Danio rerio: one gene and its partner. Each later gene encodes a partner of the first gene's protein in a complex. Links are inferred from orthologs where the notes say so. Each region holds a gene or a part of one and is shown on either strand. Other genes may lie near its edges. The genes, in order: ccnc and med20.

Region 1 (4,520 bases):
ATGCTAATTTTAGATGAAAATCTCAGATGGGACTTTTCTCTCTTTATATACAAAAAAATAACTTATTATAAAATATACAAGTACAATTTAAACTATATATATACATATAATATAATACATATAATATAACATATAATAACATAATAATAACATATAACATATAATATAATATAAAATACATATATTTTATTAACATAAAAAAAAATTATGATTGTAAAATATAACCCACTTACACACAGACGTTGCTGCTGAAATAAGCCGAGTGTTTGAAACGACACCAAATTCCTGTTGACAGCAGAATTTTAGTGTTAAAATGCAGTTTCAAACATCTTTCAGCAGAAATCTGAATAAATATTGTGTTTACAGTGCTCAGTACACCCCTCACAAATCTCTCTTTTAAGTTAATATTTTCTATAGGATGATTTACAATATTATATTTGTGCATATACATTAGTTTAGTCAGTACTGAAGTCAAATTCTGGAGCTAAAAATATAAAAAAATAAAAAGTTAAAAAAAAAGTATGATGACGGTCTAAAAATTAGGTCAAATGTATATAATAAGACAAATATTAAATAAAATTGTAAAAAATAGAATAAAAATCAAGAAAAACAAAAAAAATGTAACATATAGTTGAAATTTCAGTTTGTCATTTTTTTGCAATGTTTTGCATGACTGTACATGCATTATCTTTCTATTTCTAAAGATGATTGGTGACAAAAAAAATATTTTAATAAATATATCAGTTTAATAAATCTGTTTTGTTCAAATATGCCAAAATCTATTACCTATGATGACTGAGACATGGTAAAAAAATATTTATTTTCAAAAAATGTTTTACTCATTTATGCCAAGCACTTTATATTATATACAGACAGAGTATTTACCTCTACTTTAGAGGCCAGAAACACACATGTTGGGGCCATTAACACAGGGTCAATGCTCTTCAGAGAGTACCTGAAAAAACAGCCAAGAGTTTTTCCTTTTATTTCATGAACTAAAGAGTACTTAAATGAAAGCCACAGAACAAAAATAGAGCACCACATTACATGAAAAACACAAGAGCCTAGATGAATCTAGAAGAGGAATCTTTAGAAGAAAACAAGCTTTTAATGATGGCACTGCACTGCTCACCTGGCATAGAAACGCTTAAAGTAGACAGTTGCCGTGGCGATGACCTGCTGTCTGAGTTTCAAGTGTTCGCCCAAGGCTTGAATCACTGTCACAAGAGGACGAATTAAACATTTTAAAGTGTTTAAGCTGTTTAAACTTTTAGGCTTTAAGTTAGCTTTGCATTTAAATCCCAAAACCAAATACAAATGAATACAAAACAGAAAAAAATATATACATTTCAATTAACGCTCCACAGTATATGTGGTAACCTAACACTTGGTCATATGGTCAAAAAATTAAGGCTCTAAGCATCAAAACATAAAGTGCCATTATTTTTCATACATTTACAGATAACTCCCCCTAAAATGTCTAACATCAAATAAATCTTGAAAGATCAATCATCTGATGATATATTAACAGATAACAGTGTAGCCCAAAAGTATTGTTATTTAAATATGTTAAAATGACAAAAAAGATTTACCAATTGTCAACAAAACTTATTTAAAATACAACAAAATTGAACAAGATCACCTATTGTTTGCATATTTTTAAATTATTACTACATTTAAATGATATAAATACCTTTGCAAACATGAAAAATATATATTTATCTATTACACCAAAGTATGAGGAAACAATATTTTCACAAAAGCTATTTAAAGCATGAAAGTAGACACTTTACTCATAGTTAATATGCTTACTATGCATAATAAAAACTCATGTTAATAAAAGTTGTTGCACATTGTCTCTTAAACCCATCTATCATTAATTGATCGCTCATCAGATGAGAGACTTTTATTGATTCCTAAATTTAGATTGAAATCTCTGCAGCTGCTGCTACACTTTGGAATGATTTCCCCGTCTTCCATTAGATTAGCTGCAAATCTGTTTCGTTTTTAATCCAAGTATAAAAACTATCTTGTTTGACAAAGCACTGAACACATGAATAAGATTTAGTTCATATTTTACTGGCGTTTAACCACGTAAAAGCTTTTAATTAGCCTTTTTATTTACTTGTTTTTGACTTATTCTTGCTGTTTGTGGATTTTAGTTAATGTTAAGCACATCCGTCAACATGGGTTGCTTTTAATTATGCTATATAAATGAACTGCCATTGTCATATAACATGAGTAAATACTATATTGTTGAATATTTTGGTCTTGCTTTGCACTTAGTCTAGAAATACAGTTTCAGATTCAGAAAAGAGAAAACAAAACAACTAAATAAGCAATTTCTCATCAAACCATTGGCAAAAAATATCTGCAGTTTCCAGTACTCCTCTTCTGTGAGGAACTTGAGATCTTTCTGTCTCTCCTTCATCAGATCCTGCTTGTCCAGAACCCACTGCAGACTGAAAAGAACAAAGACACTTTCAATTCACAAATCATTAAAGTGTAACACACATATATTAATATTTACGTGTAATAAATACACTCTACAAGTCAAACAACAAATGTATCAGTCACTTCATATCTGGATATTAGCATTAAAACATTACTTTAATTGAGTTTATAAATGTAAATTTAATGTGTGAAAATGAATTCACGTAGTAAATAACCGATATTTATGCAAATGATTCACAAATTAATTTCTCTGTGGTTTCTTCACTAGCCAGACAGCTAAAGCTAATAAGTCAACGATTTAAACTATTAGATTTATAAAAGTCAAATAATCTAACCTCCGTATTTGAGTCTTGGTTATGACCAAAATGTGGTACTTTGTTCGCATTAATAATTCAAATATGACAATTGAAATGTTTTTTTATATCTCTTATGGTCCCGTAACCGCAGCAAAACCCCCAAAAATCCTTTATTGTGCGTGATTTAGGTAGTAAATACGAAAATACTTACTAATGTGAACTCTGCCAGAAGTTCCCTGCCATCTTGAGGTAGAAAATAAACCTTAATGTGCTGTTAAATTGTGTTTAAAATAATCGATGCTCCGTTCAGATCAGATGAGGAGCGCGACAGAAAAAACACTCCGTGGAACTTCAATGTGAAGATTAAAACGGTCCGGGAGGAAACAAACAAACGCATCAGTTCCGGAAGAGTTTTTGCGGACTTTACTGGCATCAACTTTATATTTATCTAATCGAAATTATTTTAATATAATATGATATAATATAATATATTATAATATAATATAATATAATATAATTAAATATAGTATAATATAATACAATATAATATAATATAATATAATTATAATTAAATATAATATACAATATTATAATTTAATTATAATTAAATATAATATAATATAATATAATATAATATAATATAATATAATATAATAAAATATAGTATAATATAATACAATATAATATAATTAAATATAATATACAATATTATTATTTAATTATAATATAATATAATATAATATAATATAATGCAATATATTATAATATAATGATATTGTTTTGTATTAATATAGATTCTCATGTTTTTTGTCTTTGACAGCCATAAACAAACTTTACATTGTCATTTTTTTATTACATTATCATTTGTTTTTACCCAATATACAAGGCTACAGTGACCATAAACCGTTAATTTATGATTAATAATTAGCATGCACCTCCTCGATGAAGTCAACACCAGGCTACTGTCAATCTCCAAAAAGTTTTCGACACTTTTAGTGCAGAGAATGTGATTAATAAAGATCTCAGGCATCAGGAAAACTCGCTCCTCTATTTTTACTGCGGTAAAACTCTTCGCGGTGACCCGTCAGATTGTTCAGCAGCGGGTTAAGTTCAAGTCAGCCCGAGGTTCGAGATTCCTCTGCGGGACAGCAGGTATAAAACTACCGCATGAATGAGTGTGAGGATACAATCACACGCTTCTGTTTCAGGACCACCGGTTTCAACATGAGCTACAGCCCGGAGAGGATGTCTTCTTACCGCAGGCACTTTGAGGGAGGCCTGGCCGCCTCGTCCACCCTCCAGGTCCGGGTCTCCAGCCCTTCTCCAACTCGCGGGGCGACTAGACACCGGTCCGCCAGCTATTCCCGCAGCACCGGCCGCAGAGCGCTGTCCGGGACACGCAAATCACGCATGACCAGGTAAAGAGACATCTAATGTAATATATTTAATGTTCTCTAATAAACGTGCTCATACTCAACAATCAAATACGTATGTAGCCTAAATAAATAATAAAAAATTTGACTAAGTTTTAATTTTAGGAAAAAACTTTACCATAGTATTTCACTGTGTTATTTGTAGCCTAACAAATGTAATGTAAAATTAATGTTCTGTACTGTAAGTGCTCATACCGGACAATCAAATAATGATGTAGCCTAAAATATAATTAAATATTTTACTGTGTTTTTAAGAAAAATATTATAATTTTACTGTGTTATAATCAGTAGCCTATAACAGATTTAAGTTAAAAATATGTAAATCAATAATTAAATA
Region 2 (4,447 bases), on another chromosome or scaffold:
CACATTTTGTCATGTTATTTTAATCTGTAACAGAATTTGGTTTAAGTAATCCAAGAGTTGTGTTTTTACCGGTGGCATTTCCCGTAGCGTGATACGTCTCACAGTCCACCCAGAAGTTCCCCTGTTTTACGGCTCCCAGCTGCTCCAGCTTCCTGTGGAGAAGATCCACCGTCTGCTGGACGCTCTTACCCTCGGCCACTGGCACCTGACAAACACTGACACAAACACACACACATTTGAGACGTTTAATTTATTTACAATTAAAAACAGTTTCAAAATGGTAGTTTACTAAAGCAAGATCATTCTGATCAGTGTAAACATCAATAAAAATAAATAATAAAAATAATTGTGCGAGTCTGTGTGTGCATATGTGTAATGTCTGTCTATCTAGCTATATAGATAGATTGATATACTTGAGTAATTCACCTATGAAAACCAAACCCCAGGGGTCCGTTCTTCGTACATGCATTACTCAGTTATTATATAACGGATTTGGTTATTGACGATTTGACATGTTCCAGGATCGTTACGCTCTTCAAAACTCATCTGAGAGCTGTTGTCCTATCAATAGTTCTGGTAGCTCAAACCTGCTGGGGAGCAGCAGCTTGTTTCATATAAACAGGATAAGATCGGTTCAGTTCAAGCAAAGATAATACTGAAACTATGTAACGAATTCTGATCTTTTATTACAGTAGTTATATAGTTATATACACTTGGGAAAATAGTAAATATATTTTTTAACTATATATATATATATATAAGTTAAAATATATATAAATAAAACTTATGCAATCTGCACTCCGAAATAAAAGTACAAATACTGCCACCTGGTGGATCAAAGAGAAAATTAATGCAACCTTTTTTTATAAAGGAATAATACATTCATGCAGGTATTCGGTAATATGACTGGGATTTAATGCCTTCAAAAAAGTTGCAGACATCTTTACCAATAGTAAAATGCTTTTGTGATGCAAAATTAATTTAAACATCCTGTTAATCTTTATACCAATTAAGAAACCGGCTACTATAATACTAATATGGCGACTGTAATAAGGAAAATCTGCTCTAACAATAAAATAAATTGCTGAATACTCTTGACACATGAATGTGTAAAAAAGCCTGCAGCTCACAACAAACATGGGAAGTTATTGTGTGTCATATTTAACAAACCGTTTACTAAGAATTTTAAATAATTTTGCTCACATGGAGAATTGAATATTGATCAGATGATGTCATTGCGCTGCTGTGCCGTCAGCCAATCGCTGCATTGCTGATCATGATTTTGGGGATGGATAAATCTGCCCTTCACAACACACGCTGATCTCAGATGTGCATCCAGACATTTTAATCTAATTCACGAACCTGTTTGAGGAACCAAATTAGCCAGAGATCAGTTATCAAGATGAACAGATCAAGGATCTGCCAAATCATCAAGATCATTTAAGCAACGTACGGACCCCAGCTCAGCATTTCTGTTTGTTGTCAAAACTGACAGCTGGAGGGGCGTGGTTATGAATGTTAGCCCCGCCCATTGCCTAAAACCAATAGTATCTGGATGCAGCCTTTGTGATGCAAGCTGAGATTGCATCTCTTAGTGATGCAATGTCGGACACAATTGAGCTAGTGAGGTCACTTTGAGGGGTGGGGTTAGGTGAGCACATTAAAGCTGCAGTCACACTAGAGCTTGCGTGTGCGAAAGTCCGCCGTACGGCGCTGCGAAAAGGGGCGGGATTAAACAAGATGATTAGGCATTAATAAAGCGAGTGATTGCTGCATGTGTTTCATTTCTGTCCAGAGAGCTCATGTTGATCCTCGATTGGTCTCCCGCAGTCAAGTGATGTGATTTCGCAGGTCCGACTTCACCAAGGTTGAACTTTGCACTGAAGTGACCTGCGAAACTTGACGCATGACCCTGCGTTTCCAGTCTGACGCATTCGCGTGTATGAATGAAGTCTATGGTGAGAAAAGCCCAGTGTAAGCACAGCTTAAAGTATTGGATGCAGCTCAGATTGCATCTGCACCAGGTCTGCAGCCAGACCCCTCTCTCAAAAACACACCATCTGATAATTTAACTGAAAACAAACAGGAAGAGCATTTTCAGATTTCAATTAAAGATTAGAAGGGCAAACTATTACATTTTCTCAATAATATGCACAGATGAATTATTCACCACAGAACTAGCACTGTGAGCTAACAACAACAACAAGGCTAGTTTTCATTTCATGGGCACTTTAATAAATTTTAAGACCCCGCGGACTCCCTGAACACTACTTAAATGAGTGCTTGTAAACTACAAAACTTGTTAAATGTTTTTTTATATGTTTGCAGTAAATGAAGCTGATAATCTTACACTTTTTTTTATACAAAACTTCGGGAAAACCTCGTCAAATATCCTTATATTTCATCTTAAATGTTAGTTTGAATGAACACGTGCACCTGATAATAATAACAGGCCTTCATTGTGTTCTACACAACACTAATAACAGTTTTGTAAAGTACTTTTAAGAGTGACATGTGATGTAAACATGTATAAAGCAATAAATAGACTGATGAATGAGGAGCAAAAGCCTCTCTGTGCATTCAAACAGCGCTGAACGGGAGCATCAGGAGCACCAGAGAGACTCAAAACAAGCACAACTGAAAATATTAATTATTTGAGGACAATACTTTATAAACAAAAGTGTTTCTCACCACGTTACACCCATTTCTTCGAGACAAACTTCCGCAAGCCGGGGTATTTACTTCCGGATCACTCGAGTTTGCGTGAAACACGCGAAATCAGTAAAAGTAAAACACTTAAATTCGATAAAATAAAAATATTAACAATCATTAAATTCATGTAATATAAAAACATTAGCCGCGCTAAAAATGAACAGAGCCGAGATCTGCCGAGCCTCGAGCGGAAGTAAACAGTGTGACGCAGCGCCGCTCTGGGATCAGTAGTTCTGCGCGCTCCAAAACAGCGCTCATCTCTCCAACTGCTCTCAGAGCAGCACTACAGACATATATCTATGTATACACACACACTCTCAGCGCCATTGCTCTCAGACCCACGTGTGTGCAGCTCTCCGCGGCGCGTCATGTGTTCAGACGCGATTTCACACTCATAATTCCTCAGACAGACAGGCAGATAATACTAATATTGATAACCGTCATCATGCCGAAGGTGAAGAAGGCCTGGAGCGGCGGCGCGGTGCCCCTGGCCGAGCAGATCCTCCAGCGGGACTCAGTGCGCTGCAGCGGCCGGCAGAAGCAGCGCGGCCGCGGGCAGGAGGAGCAGCAGGAGTTCGTGGATGAGAAGCTGAGCCGGAGGATCCTGGAGCAGGCCCGCAGACAGCAGGAGGAGCTGCAGGACACAGCCGAGGAGGAGCGCAGGACACCGGCGACCAGACTGGGTGAATGCTGCACTCACTGACTCTCTCTCTGTCTGTGTCTGTCCTGTTTTACCAACTGTCTGTCTGTCTCTCATCTGACTGACTGTGTGTCTGTCTCTCTGTCTGTTTATTTGTGTATCTATATGTCTGTCTATCAAACTATCCGTCAATCTGTCTGTCTGTTCCTCCATCTTTCTATCCATCTGTCTATGCCTCCATCTGTCTCCGTTCGTCTGTTTCTGTCTATCCATCTTTCTGTCCATCTGTCTATCTCTCTGTCTGTCCTTCCATCTTTGTCGGTTTGTCTATCCCTTCCTCTGTCTTCATCCGTCTGTCCATCTGTCTATCAATTTTTCTGTTTGTCTGGTCTGTCAAATCCTGTGTCTGTCCATCACTTCATCTCTCTCTTTCTAGCCATCTGTCTATCCATCTTTCTGTCCTTCTGTCTATCCCTTCATCTGTCTATCCCTCTGTCTATCCATCTTTCTGTCCTTCTGTCTATCCCTTCATCTGTCTATCCCTCTGTCTATCCATCTTTCTGTTCGTCTGTCTATCCCTCCATCTGTATATCCATTTTTGTGTCCGTCTATCCCTCCATCTGTTTATTTCTCTATTTTTCTGTCTTTTTGCCCATCTGTCTATCCCTCCATTTGTCTGTCCATCTGTCTAACCCTCTGTTTGTCTATCCCTCCATCTGTCTGTCTTTCTATCCCTCTGTCTATCAATCTTTCTGTCCTCCTTCTTTCTATCTCTCTGTCTGTCTTTCCATTTTTGTCGGTTTGTCTATCCCTTCCTCTGTCTTCATCCGTCTGTCCATCTTTCTGTCTATCTTTCCATCTTTGTCCATTTTTCTATCAATTTTTCTGTTCGTCTGGTCTGTCTAATCCTGTGTTTGTCCATCCCTTCATCTCTCTCTTTCTAGCCATCTGTCTATCCATCTTTCTGTCCTTCTGTCTATCCCTCCATATGTCTATCCCTCCATCTGTGTATCCGTCCATCTTTCTATGTCTCTGTCTATCCATCTTTCTGTTTGTTTGTCTAATCTTTTGTCTGTCCCTCCGTCTGTCTATGTC

Evidence for each region.
Region 2: ccnc (region 1) and med20 share a complex: the UniProt entries of both Homo sapiens proteins name them as parts of the mediator complex. The link is inferred for Danio rerio from reciprocal best matches to the Homo sapiens genes CCNC and MED20.

What each region holds. Positions count from the first base shown.
Region 1 is NC_133179.1:6,195,528-6,200,047, forward strand, and holds the start of ccnc (cyclin-C), read right to left. Parts: upstream 3,084-4,520; 5' UTR 2,994-3,083; coding exon 2,962-2,993; intron 2,463-2,961; coding exon 2,356-2,462; intron 1,218-2,355; coding exon 1,133-1,217; intron 956-1,132; coding exon 886-955; intron 286-885; coding exon 234-285; intron 1-233. Other genes in the region: ngs (notochord granular surface), read left to right, coding at 3,918-4,168. UniProt on the Homo sapiens protein: Component of the Mediator complex, a coactivator involved in regulated gene transcription of nearly all RNA polymerase II-dependent genes.
Region 2 is NC_133197.1:573,814-578,260, reverse strand, and holds the start of med20 (mediator of RNA polymerase II transcription subunit 20), read right to left. Parts: upstream 2,932-4,447; 5' UTR 2,706-2,931; coding exon 2,692-2,705; intron 1,363-2,691; exon of another isoform or gene 1,204-1,362; intron 216-1,203; coding exon 70-215; intron 1-69. UniProt on the Homo sapiens protein: Component of the Mediator complex, a coactivator involved in the regulated transcription of nearly all RNA polymerase II-dependent genes.